Linked DNA regions of Ovis aries. The protein of the gene in region 2 binds, or shares a complex with, the protein of the main gene of each other region. Links are inferred from orthologs where the notes say so. Each region holds a gene or a part of one and is shown on either strand. Other genes may lie near its edges.

The links. Proteins that work in one complex are often made in the same cells at the same time.
Region 1: EXOSC7 (region 2) and EXOSC1 share a complex: the UniProt entries of both Homo sapiens proteins name them as parts of the RNA exosome core complex. The link is inferred for Ovis aries from reciprocal best matches to the Homo sapiens genes EXOSC7 and EXOSC1.

What each region holds. Positions count from the first base shown.
Region 1 is NC_056075.1:18,480,828-18,491,747, forward strand, and holds the end of EXOSC1 (exosome complex component CSL4), read right to left. Parts: intron 8,981-10,920; coding exon 8,906-8,980; intron 7,732-8,905; coding exon 7,643-7,731; intron 6,873-7,642; coding exon 6,839-6,872; coding exon of another isoform or gene 6,832-6,838; intron 6,232-6,831; coding exon 6,181-6,231; intron 6,050-6,180; coding exon 5,965-6,049; intron 5,640-5,964; coding exon 5,533-5,639; 3' UTR 3,103-5,532; downstream 1-3,102. Other genes in the region: PGAM1 (phosphoglycerate mutase 1), read left to right, coding at 400-674, 1,194-1,374, 2,409-2,578. UniProt on the Homo sapiens protein: Non-catalytic component of the RNA exosome complex which has 3'->5' exoribonuclease activity and participates in a multitude of cellular RNA processing and degradation events.
Region 2 is NC_056072.1:54,146,182-54,156,163, forward strand, and holds the end of EXOSC7 (exosome complex component RRP42), read right to left. Parts: intron 8,310-9,982; coding exon 8,186-8,309; intron 7,176-8,185; coding exon 7,020-7,175; coding exon of another isoform or gene 6,864-7,019; exon of another isoform or gene 5,050-6,863; coding exon 4,945-5,049; 3' UTR 4,805-4,944; downstream 1-4,804. UniProt on the Homo sapiens protein: Non-catalytic component of the RNA exosome complex which has 3'->5' exoribonuclease activity and participates in a multitude of cellular RNA processing and degradation events.

The DNA.
Region 1 (10,920 bases), on a different chromosome or scaffold from region 2:
ATACATTTGGGCCTTTGGTTAGATGAATTATTGGGAAGCTGCTGGGAAGTATATTGTCAATTGCAACATAAATCAACAAATGTTACCTTTCCCAAAGGCAAAATATTGTTTTTCCTGTATGTAAAATATTTAGGGTATAGAAAATATTTAGCCAAATAATTTTCATTTGGGTTGTCCATACCTGAGATTTATATGTAAGAAAATTCTGGCTCTAGGGAATTTCCTGGCGGTCTAGTAGTTAGCACTCCTTGCCCTCACTGCCAAGGGCCCAGGTTTAATCCCTGGTGGGGAACTAAGATCCCACAAGCCATGTGGCATGGCTAAAGAAAAGGAAAAAGAAGAAATTCTGGCTCTAGAGTGGACCTCATTGGCTTATCACTTTTAACTTACAATTTTCAGATGCTGGCTATGAGTTTGACATCTGCTTCACCTCAGTGCAGAAGAGAGCAATCCGGACCCTCTGGACAGTGCTGGATGCCATTGACCAAATGTGGCTGCCAGTGGTGAGGACTTGGCGCCTTAATGAGCGACACTATGGGGGTCTGACTGGCCTCAATAAGGCAGAAACTGCGGCCAAGCATGGTGAGGCCCAGGTAAAGATCTGGAGGCGCTCCTATGATGTCCCGCCACCTCCCATGGAGCCCGACCATCCCTTCTACAGCAACATCAGTAAGGTATGGACAAACTGAGGTTTGGCTCGCTGACACAGGACCAGGGGATCAGAATCTGGACTTCTCTCTTTTAGCTTTTATTAGTATCTGCCTAGATCACTGAGTTTCTAATTTATGATAAAATAAATACCCCTTGTAATCCCTCTTTTCCAAGGAATGACCATCACTTGTTAAGAGTTTATGTGGTTTATCTATAAAGAATTTCTATCTTTTTTACATGTATTGCCATATTTTTTAAAACTGCACTGTAGCTGATAGGGCCTTCCTAAACCAATTGCGAGGTAAGAGTGAGTTGGGAAGGCCTTGAGGCCTACCTTTCCTAAGCTGTGTTTCTTTTGGACTATTCAATCTTCCCTGTCGTGGGTAATGGGGGAGGGAGGGCAGGATAGTAATAATCCGCCTTCTCAAGCTCTCAGTGCCCTGGTGAGAGACTTTTACCTGTACTGTGATCCCTTAGGGGATGAGGAATAGGCAGAACAGATGCAACTGGTAATAACTGTTAAGCTGGGATTTTTTGTTTAGGATCGCAGGTACGCAGACCTCACAGAAGACCAGCTGCCCTCATGTGAGAGTCTGAAGGACACAATTGCCAGAGCTCTGCCCTTTTGGAATGAAGAAATTGTCCCCCAGATCAAGGAGGGGAAACGGGTACTAATTGCAGCCCATGGCAACAGCCTTCGGGGCATCGTCAAGCATCTGGAGGGTATGTGTGCTTTTCAGAGGGGCCCTTGGGGAAGGGTAAAGCAGAGCTGCCACTACTCTGGACTGATTTAGTATGAAGGAGACCTTTAGGAAAGGGTTGGATGTACTGAGAGCCTTAGAGACAGTCCAGATTATCTCCTAGTAGAAACATGATCCTTGCTTCTCAAAGCATCATCTGCAGAACCAGAGGCTGCCACACCCCACTGGGTGCTTGTTAACAAGTTAGAACCTCAGGTCCCACTTCAGACCTGATTTGGAAGCTGCATCTGTCATCGCTCCGTTACAGCAGAGTGATCACCCAAGGAATGCCCCCAGTATTCTTTCTTAGCCACTGAACAGCAAGAAAAAAAGGGATGGAAAGTATCTCTCCCCAGAGGAGATACACACGAAAGTTTGAGATGCCTACCTCTAGACTGAGTCGGGAAGACTCCCTAGAGAAGGAAATGGCAATCCACTCCAGTACTATTGCCTGGAAAATCCCATGGACAGAGGAGCCTGGTAGGATACAGTCCATGGGGTCACAGAGGTGGACACAACTGAGCGACTTCACTTTCACTTTCACCTCTGGACTAGGACTGCTAGTTGAAATTGCTGATAAAAATCCTTAACCACAGCCTGATTACAACTCCCCACATGAGTGTCAGTTTGCATCCTAAGTTGTTTCACTTGAGGGCCTAGAGGCCCAGATGCGCCACGTTTTGGCAGCTGTATGGACAACATAGGACATTTGAGATACTAAGATGTATAGTCCTGCTTCACTGTGGGCTTCCAGATCCCCCTTGGGGAGGGATACCTTTCATCCCTTTTTTCTTGCTGTTCAGTGGCTGAGAAAGAATATTGGGGGCATTCCTTGGGTGATCACTCTACCCTAATACAGATCCTTACTCTTATGACAAGTATCAGAAAGGGTGTCTTAATTCCTGCCAGAGTCCTTGGAGGACCCATTTCCTCACCTGGACGATGAACAGAAAAGCTGGAGAGGTCTGTGGATTCTTATCTTGCTTGACTGATCATGAGGCGGGGGTATATTTTCAGGTCTCTCTGAAGAGGCTATCATGGAGCTGAACCTGCCGACTGGCATTCCCATGGTCTATGAATTGGACAAGAACTTGAAGCCCATCAAGCCCATGCAGTTCCTGGGGGATGAAGAGACCGTGCGTAAAGCCATGGAGGCTGTGGCTGCCCAGGGCAAGGCCAAGAAGTGAGGGCAAGCAGCAGATTGCTTTCCCAGGGATTACCCTCCTCCCCTGCCCTGGCCCACCCTACTCCTCTGCACCTCTCCCTGGCACATGTCCCACTGATGACATCTGTAGGCATCATAAGTTGTAGCTGCAGGTGGGGACCAGCGGCTCCCAATTCCACATTAGCCATTTTATCTCTTGCACCCACTCCCTTCATACAGTCTAGTCAGAATGGCACGTCTGGGGCATGGTCCTCGGTCCAAGCTGAGGGAAGACTTATCCAGAAGTGTTGAGAGGTTATCACTGGGGGGGGTTGATAGTGGTTTATTACTAAGGAGCAGCTTGCATAGGGGTCAGGGAGAAAACCATGCTGAGCTGTGACCAATGGTAAGAGCCTGTTCGCATCCCCAGAGGCCAGCTGGGCACTGTTGTTAGGTGACTCGGGGCTCTAGTCATTCCAGTGGAAGATGAATGTAACCTGCATGGTGACTCAATCAAATATTCCTCCCTGACTCTAAAAGGCTGGATCAATCCTGAATGTTTCTGTGTTGCATTTACTTTAAAAAAAAAAAAATTATATATAAATACAAAAAAAAAAAAAACCCTTCTGGGGTTTTTAGTGGCGGTTGAAATACTCCCACATGTGGTCATCAGCAAATAAGTCATTCCTTACACCATCATGGGATAAGCTCCTTGACTTCTAAGGCGTAGGAGTTCATCCTGTTGTGTGTTTTAGAATCCCTCCCCGGCCTTACTGTTTTGTGGCAGCGGAATGCCTCTTGATCATGTCCAAGTGTGTCTCTCACTGTGCCTGCCTTCTGAACCATGTTCCAGTTGCTTGGCCTTGCACTTGGGCCCAGTACTCATTTGAGCATAACTGTACTAAAAATATCTTTTTTCCAGATCAGTATAAAATAAAGGAGTGATGTGCAATATTTTCTGTGTGATATGTCTTACCTGAGGAAATCAACTCGAACATTCAACTCGAAATGTCTCTCACTGCCCAAGTTCGTGTATGACTAAGAGCTTTAGGATAGCCAGTCACAACTTTACACAGCCATTTTATCTCTTGCACCCACTCCCTTCATACAGTCTAGTCAGAATGGCACATCTGGGGCATGGTCCTCAGTCCAAGCCGAGGGAAGACTTATCCAGAAGTGTTGAGAGGTCATCACTGGGGGGTTCCCAATACCATGTATCTCACTGGGTTCTCCACTACAGGTTGAGCTGAACTGTTTCCTGTTGCCTCTCTACAGCTCTTGCTCAATGGTACTGGTTACTAAAATCAAATTTTGAAACTATTATACCTTTTTTCAGTTCAGTTCAGTTCAGTTGCTCAGTCGTGTCCGACTCTGCGACCCCATGAATCACAGCACGCCAGGCCTCCCTGTCCAGCACCATCTCCCGGAGTTCACTCAGACTCATGTCCATTGAGTCCGTGATGCCATCCAGCCATCTCATCCTCTGTCGTCCCCTTCTCCTGCCCCCAATCCCTCCCAGCATCAGAGTCTTTTCCAATGAGTCAACTCTTCACATGAGGTGGCCAAAATATACCTTCTTTAGAAAGGTAAAAGTTTGTTTACTAGACTTAAAAAAGCCAGTCCCTTTCTATTAGTAAACTGTAAACTTGATTCACACCTTTCCTTTTGGCTCCTGAAGTTTTATCCCTGTCAGTTACCTAACCTCCTCAGAAATTATACTTGCAGGAGAAAATGAATCTATAGTCATCCCTTATCTGCAGTGGGGAGACTGATTCCAGGACTCCTCTGGATACTGAAATTAACAGATGCTAGGGACTTCCTTGGTGGTCCAGGGGCTAAGACTCAGCTCCCAATGCAGGAGGCTAGGGTTGGATCCCTGGTCAGGGAACAGGATCCCACATGCATGCAGCTGAGTCTGCATGCTGCAGTGAAGAGCAACTAAGACCCAGCACAGCCAAAATAAACATTTCAAAATTAACAGATGCTAAAGTGCCTAATACAAGGTGGCATAGTACAGATGGCTCTCTCCCCATGGGTTTCCCATCCATGGATAGGGAGGACTGACTGCAGTTGTCTACATAATTGGGGAGGGGCATTGCTCACACTTGCCTTTTCTCTGAGGCCTCTGAGAAGATCACTGGAATATGAGAAAGCCCATAATGCCGTCCTCTTCTAGTAGGAACAAGTGACACCCTCCATCTAGAAAATTCTTAAGCGCTCTGTGCTAGCCATCAGGTGAGACATGTTGTATACATAATCTTCAATCCTGATAACCTCTGAAAGGGCTAGTGTCATTTACAGAAGAGGAAACACGCTGAAAACAGAAACGGGCCAGAAGGTACACTACTGAGTACTGGGACCCAGTATGAATGTTGCCCTTATTCTAAAATTTAAGCATCTTGCTTTCCAAGTTAGCTGTTTATCTGATGTGCCCAGTAATCCTAGGAAGACTTTTAGTACTTTAAGTCTAAAGTAGCCTGATGGGATGTTAGTTTCCTTAGCTTGTACTGAATCTTAGAACAAAAGTTGGTAATTTTGTGCTCAACCCATGCCTGACACATAGCAAGTACTCAAAAGTATGTAGCACATAAAAAAAACACACAAAAAAGATAGGTGATTAGGCATTGTCTACAAAGACTCTGCTCTAGATGTCATGTCAGTTTAGATTCTTTACCCTACTTGAGACAACAGAAACTAAAATTTTCATAAAAATGTTTTCTTTGTCATAGCAAAAGCACACATGTGCAACACTCAAAAGAATAGGCTATAATCTAACGTCATACAGGTTGTTTGCTGGTGCCTCCAAAAGAAATTACTCCAGAGAAGAAAACCCACTGAAAGGTTCACAAGAAAAACGTTCCACCTACAGGAAAGATTTTTCTAAAGGTGGCTGTTGACCAACCCCTGGTATCTGAATAAAGACAACAGCCTCCTGATGTCACTCACACATGTACTCTTGGAAAACAGCTTCCCCTTCTGCGTGGGGAAAGTGGCTTCTTAGGTCTGCAGGAACTCAGGCTGCACTCGGGCCACCTTCCGGAATTCTTTGGTGTGGGTCTTTGGGCACTGCATCTCACACCAGCTGATGGGGACCATCTGGACACCTGCAAGGGGAAAGGTGGTGTAGGAGCTGGGACCCCAGATACTTGCTCGAGACATTTCTCTTTTCAGCTGGGTGTGAACTGATGTCACCAAGCTGCCTAGTGAACCTCTCACCTCATACAGAAAAAAGCCTTGTTTATTCCACTGATTTAAGTAGTAAGTGGCTCCTTTCCTTAGATTTTATAAGGAGAATCATTCTAATCCCAGTAGTCAGTATCTACACTCACATTGCTTCTAAGATAATTAAAAAACGAGGGAAAACAGTGGACTAATCCCAACCTTAGCTCTCAGGAAAAGGTAAGCACATGGTAGCATGGACAAACTCACCTGATTCGCTGTGGGCCACCACCACTCCCAGCTCATTTTCGGCAGTGGTTAGCAGGTAGTTGGATTGCGCATCACCTAGGGAGATCTAGTCATGTCACGTTAGTAAAGGAAAACAAAGACTTACAAGTCTTCCCTCTCATAGCTACTTGAGTGATTTCTCTACTTCCATTTCTTCCTTTGACAAAGGATCACAAGTCTTCAGGGAATAAAGGATACCACTTTGGCCAAGACGATGTCCCCTGGGCGGAAACTCTTATAAATTTCAACCTGTAAAGAAAGAAGTGTTAAGTAAAAACTCCGATCAGGTCTATAATGAAACTATTAACCCCACTGGGTAGAGCTAGTTTACTTCTAACCCCAGAGGGTAGAACCCCAATGGCAGATCTACCATTACTCAAGTAGAGCAACAACTTTTATTGATTCTGCGGCATCATCACAAAAATGAAAGATCTGAACTCAGTAACCTGATCAGGAATCTGACTTAGACAAAAGGTACTATGGTTGCCCTGAAAGGGTCCAGAATAAGTCTGAGAGAACAGCCATGAATAAATACCTGGCTTCAAAGACAAAGTGTAAACTAGCTCCTCTCTGGTCAACAGAAGAAAAATCACACAAAGAGGAAAGGAATAGTGAGGTGAATTCCACACCTTCCAGTAGAGAACACCTTAAAATTCCTTGGACTCCACATTCCCACAGACTTTTTTTTTTTTTCCCAAACATGAACCCCCCTCCCACCTCCCTCCCCATAACATCTTTCTGGGTCATCCCCATGCACCAGCCCCAAGCATGCTGCATCCTGTTGAAATTCACTGGAATAATCTCAAAGGACTGAGATTCCTAAAGCCATGAAGAAAAAAAAGAGCCAACCAACAACCTTGTCTTTTTCAGTAGCTCGGACGTCTTCTTTGCTATAAAGAAAAGAAGTAACAGAAAGATTAATTATCTGTGAGAAAGAATTATCCAGCAGACTCCTAGCAGAGAAAGAGCTATAAGAGCAAAGAGAACAAGTCCTGATCCGGACCCTGCTGCCACCCAGAGGAGCAGGTGGAGAAATATTTCCCGTCCTAACCCCGAGGAGAAAATCACAGTTCCCATTCTTCGATCAAACAGAACAGGAGTATCAATACCTCCCACTAGAGGAAAGTGGATCCGATTTGGCAGAGGATAAGGAGCTCTGCTGCCTTAGGAGAGCTTGAATGGCAGCATCACAGAACCACACAGAATCCTGAGGGTGGAAAGAGCCTCAGATGTTAAATTATCTAGCTCACAAGAACTGTCTGTCCCTTCTCAAAGAACCCATAGTGGGGAAAAAATACCACTTTACCCACTATCCTTTTTATTGTCTTATAATGCTTGGGTTAATCGATATTAACACAAGAAAAAAAGGTACTTCCTAAAATGCCTTCTACTTTGGTATGAATCATACCCACAATGCACCTCCAGCTTATTCAATTCTTTTTTGTTCTATTTAAAGCCCTATCTCATTAATATCTTCCTTCTGTTTTAACTCACATACTATAATATTTTCTTTAGATACTACCTGGGGAGAATCAAAGCACAAAGAGGTGAGACAGGGCAGGAGTAGACTGTTAATTGTTCTTAAAAATTCCAGTCTCCCATCCTATCCTAATCTCATTCCAGGCGCTGAGGCGAATATGAAGACAAAAATACTCCTTACCGGATGGTTCCTCGAAAAGAGTTCTTAAGTGGCGTGGACCCCACATATAGGATGCGTACTTTGGCAAAGCGTGAATTGATGCTGGAGACCTGTGGAACAGAGGAAAGGGCAACATTATAGAGGGCAACATTATAGAGTATTAGCAGTTGTCAGCTGAAGGAGGCAGGAATCAACTAGGAAAGACTAGGATTTTAGTCCAAGCATCCCTACTAAGCATAGAATTTCAGATAAGTTAACTCGTATTTATCCCTGCATAAGGGATGTTCATAAAGTGGAGTAAGAGCCACTCTGGCCACCTAAAGTAGAGTTACCGAGGGAATCAAATGAAATAATATGGCAGAGATTTTTAAAAATGTGCAAGTCTAACATAAATCCACAAGGGAAGCATAGCAACTCTAACTAGACCTTTAGCAGATCTCACCAAGAGGCCTGTAGTGTGAATGGAACTTAAGTCTCCATTTCAGCTGCTGGGTAATATTTGGATCACTGTGCCTGTCCAGTTATTTTCAAAATAATGCATAGATTTTCTCTTTTTTTCCTTTTTTAAATTTGGCCACGCTGTGTGGCTTGCAGGATCTTAGTTCCCTGACCAGGGACTGAACATACACCTTTGGCACTGAAAGTGCAGAGTCCTAACCACTGGACTGCCAAGGAATTCCCCACATAGATTTTCTGTTGGAGAAATTATTTACAGAGGAAAACTAAGAGCTACAAGTTAACTGGCAGAGGGTGGGGATGGGCAGGGAATACGGATGTCTTATAGTTACTAATTGGTACAGCACTAATTTGCACTTGCTCTCAAAGACTTTATAAAAATCTTTCATTTCTCTGCAGAAAAAGTTTCGCTTTAGATGTTCAAAAATACACCTCCTTATGACCTTCTGGTACTCCTGTTTCCCAGACAGAAATAAAAAATTACATACTGAGGAAACCAGCTCTGTGAAAGGACTACATAAGCTTGAACTTAACCACACTGATCATTATCCTAGAAATCTCTAGACCCAGCACAGTCCAGTAAAACTTTCTGTGATGATAGAAAAATTCTGTTGACCAACATGGCAACCACCATTCGCCTGTGGCTACTGACTACTTGAAATGGAGCTAGCAGAACTGAGGAAATAAATGTTAAATTTGTTTTAATTTTATTGAAATTTAAATGACGTTATGTGACTATTGGTTACCATATTGGACAGTGCAGTTCTATAAGGATCATGATTTCAACACTGGATGGTATCCTAAGCAGGGAGGTTAGGACCAACTTACCTTGCAGGTTACAATAGCTCCTACATCTGGCAGTAATTGGGACTCCGTTTCTCTCATCACAGATATGACAGGAAGCTGCAGAGAGAAAAATAAAACATGAATATTCTGGCTAAGCCTTGGATAAAGGTATTTGAGACTTGACAGTAAAATGGGAAACCTTGGGCCACAGTAGACGTCACATGGGCAGGTGGACAACAGATTCATTTGTAGCCCAGAGCAGAAAGCCTTAGAAATTTTAGGATACAGGAGGGCCAAGGGGCCACAGAAAGAAAGGTGTAAGAAGATATAATCTTACCACTTCAGATGAGTTCTGAGTTTTTTTGTGATTTTCTTAAGAGTTTTTCCACATACAACTACATTGCCTGTAATCATGGATAATTTAACTCTTTCCTCCAAAGTTACATCTTTCTTTTGGTTTGTCATTTTATTGGACAGGCTAGAATTTTCAAATAAATGTTATATAACAGTGGCCATACTTGTTTACTTCTATTTAACACTTGTAGAGTTTCCTCTTTGAGCATGGTACTGGCTATTGGTGCAGGAAAGATATTTTTGAGCCCGATCTTTTCTTAACCTTTCCCTTGTTCAATATGCTTCAGCTCTCCTGGTCTTTTTTCAGTTTCACCAATTCACGAAATTTTTTCCCATCTCAGGATCTCTTTTCAACCTGCTCTTTCTGCTCACTCACTCAACTCTTATTTATCCTTTAGATTCAGACTAAATATCACTTCTGACTAGGCTGGATTTACCTATTACATGTTCTCATGGTACTCTGTAATATTGTTTCAGAGCAGCCATCATATGTGTAAGTATACCTTCATTTGAGCATTTATTTGCTTAGTTTGTATCTGTACCCCTTGATAGCAGAGACCACATATATTTGGCTCATTATCACATCCCACAGCTATAAAATGAACAAACTTTCAAATCCTAGGGAAATTCCCCAAATTGATCAAATACAAAAGTCTCTCATTTTATAGGTAAGAACCTATAAAGGGAGTGAAAGTTTCTTACCTAAGGCAGAATTAAGGTTTAGTCAATACTGAATCCTCTTTCTACTATGCTCCCAGTTTCTAGGGCGTTCCTGGTGGCTCAGCTGATAAAGAATAATCTGCCTGCAATGTCAGAGACCTGGGTTCGATCCCTGGGTTGGAAAGATCCCCTGGAGAAGGGAATGGCTACCCACTCCAGTATTCTGGCCTGGAGAATTCCACGGACTGTATAGAGATTTGGGCTTCCCTCATAGCTCAGTCAGTAAAGAATCTGCCTGTAATGCAGGAGACCTGGGTTCAATTCCTGCGTTGGGAAGATCCCCTGGAGCAGGAAATGGCAATCCACTCCAGTATTATTGTCTGGAAAATCCTATAGACAGAGGAGCCTGGTGGGCTACAGTCCATGAGGTCTCAAGTGTCAGACACGACTTAGCGACTAAACCCATGCCCCCCACCACCTCCAGTCTTTAAGCTGCTCCTCCAAGAACTGCTTATCTGATCCCAAGCTAATAATGGATCAGCCTCTGGAACCAGGGAGAATAATATTATTCATACATTCAATAAACATCTACTGAGCATTTACCTCGCGCTACGTGCATAGTAGTGGAAGGGTCTAATGGGGAACTTATAACTGAGTGTTAAATTGCATGCTGAACTAAGTGCTTAGAAAGGGAGTAACAGCTCTTGGGACCTCCCTGGTGGTCCCATGGTTAAGACTCTGACCTTTCACTGCAGGGGGGATGGGTTCCTTCCAAGATCCTGCATGCTGCCTGGCAAAACAAACAGGCAAACTGACCCCAACAGTTCTTTGTGAGTGTTAAAACAAACAAAAAACAAAACTCCCTTTTTTGACTAGTGGTGTCTATAGGGCTTCTCTGAGAAAGTGATAACTAGTGAGGTTATCTAAAGGGTGGTGGTGGTTTAGTCGCTCAGTCGTGTCCGACTCTTGCGACCCCATGAACTGTAACCCGCCAGGTTCCTCTGTCCATGGGATTTTCCAGGCAAGAATACTGAAATGTGTTG
Region 2 (9,982 bases):
TGCATGAATGTTTCCAAGTGAGCTTGAGAAGAATGTGTGTCCAGCTGTTGCTGGATAAAGCAGTCTATGGGTGCTAAGTCCCTTCAGTCGGGTGCGACTCTTTGCGATGCAATGGACTGTCTTTGCAACCCACCGGGCCCTTCTGTCCAGGGGATTCCTTCAGGCAAGAATACTGAAGTGGGTTGCCGTGCCTTCCTCCAGCGGAATCTCCCCCACCCAGGGATCGAACACCCATCTCTTATGCCTTCTGCATTGATGGGTGGGTTCTTTACCACCAGCACCACCTGGGAAGCCCCAGAAGCAGTCTGTAGATGTCCGTTATATCCAGATTGACGCTGTTGGCAAGTCCAAACACGTCCTTACCAATTTCCTGCCTGCTCCATCTGTTCATCTCTGACAGAGCAATGTTGAATTCTCCGGTTATGATAGTGGGCTCGCGTATTCCTCCTTGCTGTTGTGTCAAAGTTTTTTACCTCATGTATTTTAATGCTCTGTTGTTAGGCATATACACGTTACAGATTTTTATGTCTTCTTGGATTTTTATGTCTTTTTATTTTTTGGCTTTATCATTATGTAATGCTCCTCTTTATCCCTGATAACTTTCCTTGCTCTGAAGTCTCCTCTGTCTGAAATTAAGATAGCTACTGTAGCTTTCTTTTGATGAATGCTACCATGGTTTATCTTTCTTCCTCCATTTACTTTTATTCTATATGTGTCTCCTGGTTAGTAAGCTTCACGCAGCTTTATTGATTTCCCTGGACTTGCCTGCGGGCCTCCCCAGTTTGGGGAGCAGTGGTTGCCTCGGTCCTCACCTCTCTTCCAGCTCTGAGAAGCCTTGCTGCTCTTCCAGCCTGTTCAGTTCTGGCTTCTCCTCCACATTTATTCCAGGTGCCAGCGAGGCGCAACTTCAGGGGCTGTCCCAGCAGTGAATTAGGAAACCTTCAGATCTCCGTGCCAGGACATTAGGCCCCCGCCCAGCCCTGACCCTGGTCCAGCGCCCTCAGAGCCACTCCCAGCTCTGTTTCCTTGGTACCTGCCAAGCCAGGTCTTGCGATTATTTTGATGAGTCGTGTCTGTCTTCCCAGGGCAGGGCCTGTGTTTCCCTGCTCAGGCTGGGCTGTCATCAGTCCCTAGTTATGGGCCTGGAGCCAAGGAGGGAAGGTGTTATCACTTTATGAGAAATCTGCCTCAGGTATGGTGCCTGTGTGGAAACTGGTATAGTGTTTCTCTGGGGAATGCTTCTCTACAGGTGGCAGTTTCTTCTGCCTGCCCAAAGCGTCCAGAGGAATATGAGGGGCCAAGATGCTGTCTTTCTCCCAGGCCAGAGTCCCTTTCTCCTGACGAAAGCCCCGTCTCTGACAGAGGACCCTGCCAAGGGTATCCCTTTAGCTTCCTGTGCTGCTCGGCCTTTCTCGCACAAGCACTGGGATGGACTTCTGTTTTTACTCTTTGGTGACATTTCCAGAACTCAATTATTAGGTCAACGGGCCTGAAAGTTTTAAGACTTTTAATACACACTGCCAGACTATCTTAAAAAAATATTGACTAACATAGATTTATGCTCAACTGGCAGTTATAAGATTGCTGGGAGAAATACCAATAACCTCAGTATGCAGATGACACCACCCTTATGGCAGAAAGTGCAGAGGAACTAAAAAGCCTCTAGATGAAAGTGAAGGAAGAGAGTGAAAAAGTTGGCTTAAAGCTCAAAGTTCAGAAAACTAAGATCATGGCATCTGGTCCCATCACTTCATGGCAAATAGATGGGGAAACAGTGGAAACAGTGGCAGACTTTATTTTTTTGGGCTCCAAAATCACCGCAGCCATGAAATTAAAAGACGCTTACTTGGAAGGAAAGTTACGACCAACCTAGACAGCATATTGAAAAGCAGAGACATTATTTTGCCAACAAAGGTCCATCTAGTCAAGGCTATGGTTTTTCCAGTGGTCATGTATGGATGTGAGAGTTGAACTATAAAGAAAGCTGAGCACCGAAGAATTGATGCTTTTGAACTGTGGTGTTGGAGAAGACTCTTGAGAGTCCCTTGGACTGCAAGGAGATCTAACCAGTCGATCCTAAAGATCAGTCCTGGGTGTTCTTTGGAAGGAATGATGCTAAAGCTGAAACTCCAGTACTTTGGCCACCTCATGCAAAGAGTTGACTCACTGGAAAAGACCCCAATGCTGGGAGGGATTGGGGGCAGGAGGAGAAGGGGACGACAGAGGATGAGATGGCTGGATGGCATCACCAACTCGATCGATGTGAGTGTGAGTGAACTCTGGGAGTTGGTGATGGACAGGGAGGCCTGGTGTGCTGCAATTCATGGGGTTGCAGAGAGTGGGACATGACTGAGCGACTGAACTGAACTGAACCAGCAGGTATATGGGAGACCACTGCCTTTACTGAGCAAAACGCAAACAGCTGTCAATTTTAGAAATTCGTGTGCTTTGTAGGCTTGAATTTACACGATTTCAGAGACCAAGGAATCAAAGAATAAAAGCAATTAGAATATTCTGTAATACTCCATTCCTTCCATGCCCACCCTCACTGAGCCCCCCGCCCACAAACTCCTGATTGCCTTCTGGCTCATATTAGTTCTCCCCAACACTGATTTAATGGCCACTAAAGACAGCTCTGGTTCTGCTGAATGAAGTAGTGGAGTTCTCTGGGACAATATTTTCCCAAGTCTTTGCCAGTCTCTGCCTTCAGTTCTCTTTCCTTATTCTGAGAGCTGCAGTAACCAGACAATTCCAGGAAAGCCTCTCTGGAGAGACCCTGCTCACTTGGTGTTTTGTTTCATTTGTGATGGATGCTTCTTCCAGGCAGGGTGGCCCTCAAGGAAAGGTACGGACGGGGCGGTAGAGACATGCTGACATCTGCCTCTCCCCTTCATCTGCACTGGACGGGCTCTGCCAGCAGGCCCAGGTGGGTAGCTGTGGCACAGTTGGACTGGGACAGCGTCACCTGTCTGTCGCAACTCTGATGCCTCTAATCACCGAAACCAAAGGCTTCTCAACCGTGTTCACGTTCTGGTTGCAGCTGCGCAGCCCCACTGTGAACGCTCCATCACAGGCAGCCAACCAGCGCCAGGGGAAGAGGAACAGGCTGATTGCCACCTCGCTGGCAGCACTGTGGCGGCACCCATGAGGACTCTCCCTGGAAATAAAGCAAAAGAAGAAATCCCCGGCTGTTCTCTCCACAGGGCAGCAGCTCCAAGTCTAGGCAGCTGCTCCTCTCCACTGGGCACCCCTGGCCAGGCCGGGAGATGCCCACGCCAGGACCTCTGCAGTCAACCTGCAAGGGCTTCAGCTCACATTATGTTCTTTCCATCTGGCAATAAAAATTCCTAACTCCTTACCCTGTTTGTTTAATGAAACGAAGAGAGTAAAATGCCACGCTGAAACACTCCTTCATGAATCAGCTCCTTCCCCAGGGCTCTCTTGAAGATCGACTGGGGAGTTTCAGTTCCCCCGGCAAAGGAATACCAAGACTGCTTCAACCCATGAATAGACTTAATTCCAGCACGCTGTCCTGTGAGTAGAACACGGGCTCACAGAAAGCGCGTTCTGAAAGCCAGAAGAATGGCCTCCCCTTCTGTCCCCAGAGTATGAAGGCGGGCTGAGTAATCAAATGGCAACATCTCTAAAGCAGCCTTCTTAATACTGATAAAACCTGGAAATCTTACAAAACACCAGGGAGTGGTTATAAAACATGAAGCAATTTCCAAACAAGAGTGATAAGAAAGGCTGGCTCAGGACCAGACCCTAGGGGAGCTCGGCTGGGATCTCTTAGAGGGCCAGTAGCAAGAACTGGGCTTCCCCAAAACTCGGGAAGGCTCACCAGCCAGGCAGAAACCCTGGGTCGGTACCCAGGGCAGAATGCCTTCTCCATCTCAACCAGGAAGCCCCCAAATGCACGAGTTGCATTTATATTGTGTGTGAGTATCATCTTGAAAGCTCTAAGGGGGAGAAAATTGACAATATATATATCATAAGAAGATGGTGATTGCAGCCATGAAATTAAAAGACACTTACTCCTTGGAAGGAAAGTTACAACCAACCTAGAGAGCATATTAAAAAACAGAGACATTACTTTGCCAACAAAGGTCTGTCTAGTCAAGGCTATGGTTTTCCCAGTGGTCATGTATGGATGTGAGAGTTGGACTGTAAAGAAAGCTGAGCACTGAAGAATTGATGCTTTTGAACTGTGGTGTTGGAGAAGACTCTTGAGAGTCCCTTGGACTTCAAGGAGATCCAACCAGTCCATCTTAAAGGAGATCAGTCCTGGGTGTTCACTGGAAGGACTGATGTTGAAGCTGAAACTCCAATACTTTGGCCACCTGATGCAAAGAGCTGACTCATTTGAAAAGACCCTGATGCTGGGAAAGATTGAGGGCAGGAGGAGAAGGGGACGACAGAGGATGAGATGGTTGGATGGCATCACTGACTCAATGGGTGTGGGTTTGGGTGAACTCTGGGAGTTGGTGATGGACAGGGAGGCCTGGTGTGCTGCAGTTCGTGGGGTTGCAAAGAGTCAGATATGACTCAGCGACTGAACTGACTCTGATATCATAAGCAGTTCCTTTGAACTATTTTTCTGGTAGGTCTTATTTTAGTGTGTGTGTTTGTTGTTCTGATTTCCTGCAGCAGGAGACAAGTCTCCCTGGAGAGGCCTGGGACCAGAGTCCTCCACTGGAGCAGGTCTCTGGACTTAGTTGTCATTTCCTAGAGAAGGGTCAGTTGTGGTGGAGCCACAAATGGCATCCTGGCGTACAGCTGAAGAAGTCAAGCCATACCACACACGAGACCAGAAAATAGACTTTAATTTCACATGTACAAATGTTGCCTTAAATTCACAGCAGTTAAGAAAACAATGTATACAAACTTCAGCTTCCAGGGAAAAGGAGAAGACAAACATTCGGCAGTTGGAGGCTGCTGTGCACATCAGCCCAGGAATCCGACTTTCTGTCTCTTGGGCCCCAGGCTCTCCTCCTTGTGTAGAATGCTCTGCAGGGAGGCATGCAGCACCTTGCCCACGCGCTTGCCAGTCTGCAGGACGGAGAAGGGCAGACAGAAGAGGGCACACGCCCGCCCGTGAGGCACACGTACTCTGACTGAGAGAAGCGTCCCTGCCAACCAGCCATTCCAAAGCCGCACACATGCCATCGGCCTTACAGGACTTTCATTCAACATAAAAACCCCAGGGAGTTCCTGGTGGTCCAGAGGCTGAGACTCTGCAATCCCAATGCAGGGGGCTCGAGTTCGATCCCTGGACAGGGAACTATAGATCCCACATGCCACCACTAAAGATCCTGCATGCTGCAACTAAGACCAGGTGCTGCCAAAAAAAAACCCAACCCTCCAAACCCCGACACCACAGTAGTTAACCTTCTGGGAAAGCCTCTATTCTGAGAAAGGGGAAAAAGAAGAAGGCAGCCCCCAAGCAGCAAGCAGAAAGGAACAAAAGCGGCCTCGGTCCTTAGCTGCTGCCACTGGAAGCAGCAGAACAGTCAGCCCCGTCAGAACCTGGCTACAGCCACTGCGTTGCAGAGAGAAGGCATGGGGAGACCACGGGGAATCCAGAATCTGTCTGATGAAGGAACAGATGGTGCTGGGAACCCTTTTTAACAAGCAGTGTCTAATCTGCCTGCCACCAAAGGAGACCTGCTCAGATAGGACCAAAGTCAATACCTGAATAGAGTCTTTGATGTTACTGCCATGCAGAGATGCTAAAAGCATACGTTACTGGGATCAAGGCATGTCACGAGGTCAGACAACGCCATAGATTTCCTAATTAGCCCCCTACACAGCTGACAGAAGGGGGCTTTGACAAAAAAATCCCAACTATATAAAAATCTTTCTTCATGCAACTGTTTTTGGGTCACATGAATCATTTCAAGAACATTATGAACCGACTACAAGTTTCCTCTCCAAGCCTTCCATGGTCTCATACCAGCTTTAGTTCACTTGTGCTACTGGTTCCATCCCCGACAATGTCAGGGAGAAAGACACCCAGGCCCTGGCCCCACCCCAGTCCTCCTAGTCATCGGTGGACTCTCCCCAGGGCTGTGTGGCTTTTCCCGACCCCGGACTATAACAAGGGATGAGACCCCCATATCACGAAAACTCATGAAGAGAAGAGCTTAGTCTAAAGACCAGGAAGGGATTGAGTCTATGAAATGCGAAATCAGGATTAAGGTCCAAAGTGACTTTGGAAAGATTTCTATCGCAACATTAAGAAAAGGAAAAAATGTCCAAGTAGGGGACACTGACTAGGGAAACTGATTATTCATAGGAATGAAGACAGGGAGAGAATAGGAAATGAGACAAACAGGCCACCAGGGCTTGCGAGATCTGGACCTGGATTTGCAGGAGAGGTTATAGTGGCCGGGGCGGCAGACACACAACCAGCTGAGTGTCTAAGCTTTATCAGGAGTGGAGGGGATGGGAGTGCCAACCAGTCAGTTCAGGAGCAGCTGGAAAGCGCCCGAGTGCTGCTGCCAGGCCTGGGGGCACCGAGGGGAGCAACCCACCCAGAGGCCGTGGGGGGCTTTCCCCCATCCCTCTTCATCTCCATTTACACGCTTCCAGGCCCACACGGAATGGGGAGACCACCATCCTGTACCCGCAGCTCCACCTCTGCCCACTCTCCTTAACAGGCAGGAAGCAGTCAGCCAGGATTTCAGTTCTCTCATCCAATCACCGAAGCCTGGGATTTGGCAGTTACAAGTGACTCTTAACATTATCAGTCCAACATTCTTATTCAGAAACGTGGCACTGGGGTCAGAGAAGGAGAGGATAAGGAACTCTTCTGGGCCAGTCGCTACCTCCTGGTCCCAAGCCCCCACCCACCACCATCTCAGCTAGCTCAGCGACATCTGCCTTATACCAGCTGCCCTCCAATCCCCAAAACTGGGGTGAAGAGGGGAAAATGGGGAGAGTGTCCCGTGTGACCAAGGGGCAGGAGGCAGCAAGCGCCCCCAGCCAGGTACCAGCACCCACTGCAGAACCAAACGCACCTCCAGCATCTCGAAGATGCTCTCTGGGTCCAGGCTGCCCTTTCCCACCTTCCTCACGCACGTCACGACTCCCTTGCTGGTCACGGACACCAGCAAACTGGCCAAGGAGCAGGCCTCCTCCTGAAGAGTAGCGTCCACCACGTGCCGATAGCCAATCTGCAAGGTGAGGGCAGCAGTGCGCACGCGTGGGCAACGCGCACCCCGAGGGCCTCGCAGAGGCGACGCCCACACACCCATTCGGGCCTAATGTTAGATTCTGTTCATAAGGAGAACACCTGGAGCACTGTTTGCTGTGCTGCTGAAAGGCTGTGTAAACTGTAACAGAAGCAGGAAATGGAAATACACGGTGCGGGGGATGGTGGTCAGAATTAAAATTCAGAGACCTTCCAAGTCAGGGGCTATCCAGGGGTCTCCAGCAGAGGTCCCCTGGATGTTTCACTGATGACAGAGATGAATGCTGAGGGCCCATGCTGATGGACGCGCTCAAGAATGAGTCAAGGGCAGGTGGCTCTGGTCGTCCCAACACTTCTCAAAGCCCAGGCTCATGTAGCGATCCTGGTGGAATTAAACCTGACCTGTCAGTCTGATCTGTATCCAGTGAATCCCGAGTGGAATCATGACACTCTCAGTCAGAACAGGCCTCTTTGCACAGTCCTGGGCGGTGCCAGTCAGGCCTGAGCGTCAGCTAGCTGCTCCGCTCCACAGGCCTCGGCACTCCACGCTTGATGTATTAGACACCCAGGCCCTGCTCCAGCCCTCATTTCACAGATGTGCTCATTAGGGCCCACAGAGGGGACAGTGTCCGCCTTTCAACCACCTTTTTACTATCCAAGCAGCCCAGACACCAGAGTTGGAAGAAGTAAAGGAAATATGCATTCAAGGTATTTTGGTGACATGCCTGGTAGACAGAAGGAGCTCTGCTAACTCTGGCTACTGATACTACGAACCCACTCATGTGCTCCTGAGACCAGAGCCACATCTTCCAGTGAAAAAGAGAAAGCTGTTTATGGTAGTGGTCTCTAATATAACAAAATTAGTGGATTTAGGTTAAAGGTACTTCTGTATGGGTTGTAAACCATAACTTCTCAACCTACTAGGTAACCTTAACGGGCCACGGTTGGAGGAGATTGACAGGGGAGAAAAAACCATGAGATATAAGCTCATACTTTGCACAGGGTGACGATGCAGGGGACATTCTCCACGCTGAGCTGGACGCAGTCGTAGGGGTCATCGGACAGTTCAATGTCCTTCGACCCTTCTTCGTCTTCCAGAACACGAACTCTTGGTATCCTAGAAGCAGAATTAAAATTCCCAGTTACTGAAAGGAAGCATGGTAACTTCTTTTTCTTGAGTTGGAATCCCTGTGCCTCAGAAGATGAAGTCATGCTGTGCCTGAGTTTGCCCTCAGCCCTGCCAAAGGGGTGCAGTGAGGAAAGGAGGTCTTTTAAAAAGTGATGCTGGGCAGAGGCAAGTGGAGAGGGGCTAGAGGCGGGGGAGATCGAGAGGCACAAACTAAATACTGCGAATGAGATAAGTAAGCTTCACGGATACATTGTACAGCACAGAGAATATAGCCAATGTTTTAGAGTAACTGTAAATGGGGTATAATATATAAAAATACTAAATCACTATATTATACACCTGAAGCTACATGAATTATACCTCAACCAGCAACAAAAAATTTAAAAATGAAATTTAAAACAATACTTGGTCAACAGAGATCCAAAAATGAGCCCTGAACCCTACCTTCTCACCAAACACAAAAATCCATACTAAACGGACCACAGATGTAAAAGGTGAAACCATAAAGCTTTTAACTAAGAACATCTTCACGACCTTCGAGTAGACAAAGATTATTAAACAGGACACAGAGTACTCGTTGTAAAGGAAACAAAACTAGCCTTCAATTATAACTGAACACACACACACACACATCTTGGAGACACGGCAGGTCTGGTTTCAGACACCACAATAAAGCAAGTCCCATGAGAACTCGGCCACTCCCCAGTGCGTAAGCAGCCAAGTCTATACTATAGCGCAGTCTGTAAGCTTGGCGCAAGCATTATACCTAGGAAATGAAAAAAGTGCACATACCTTAATTTTAAAAGACTCTTAAAAAAAAAACAAACTGGAGGATAGTTTTAACTGGAGGATAACTGCTTTACAATATTGTGTTGCTTTCTGCCGTGTACCAACATGACTCAGCCATAGGTATGCGTATGTCCCCGCCCTCTTGAACCTCCCTCCCACCTCCCGCCCCATCCCACCCCCCTCGGTTGTCACAGAGCACCAGATTTGAACTTGCTGTGAAAAACACATTAAAAAATGTTAAACATCATGTGAACCTTCTTGCAATAGTAACGTCAAAAATTACTGATCACAGGTCACTGTGACAAATATGTACAAAGAAGTCTGAATACTGCAAGAGACGTGAGGTGAGAAGATGCCGTTGGGAAAATGGCGCTGACGGACCTGCTGGCTGCAGCACGGCCACAGACCTTCACTTTGCAGAGAAGGCCGCGCCAGCTAAGCACAATCCAGGGGCGCGCAGTGAGACAAGGAGCGCCTCTGCGTGTGCACGATGTAACACAGACGATAAGCTTCTGTTTGTCAAAAGGCATTATCTGGAAACTAAAAGATCATCCAGAATGGAGAAAACAAATTATTTCTCTGTGTGAGTGTGAGTGCATAAACTGACACATTACACAACGAATTCCTACCGAACAGAAAAGACAGACGACTCAACAGAAATGGGCGAAAGACTTCAATAGGAACCTCAAAAAAGAGCCTATTCACATAGCCGACAGACACTCAGAAAGGTGCTCAACTTAAAATATTCATCAGGAAAGTGCAAAATACAACTACAATGTGATACCAAGACACACCTACCAGAATGGCTAATATTAAAAAGACCAAAAAAAAAAAAAAAAAAAAGGAGGGGGGGGGCTGGCAAAGAGGCAGAG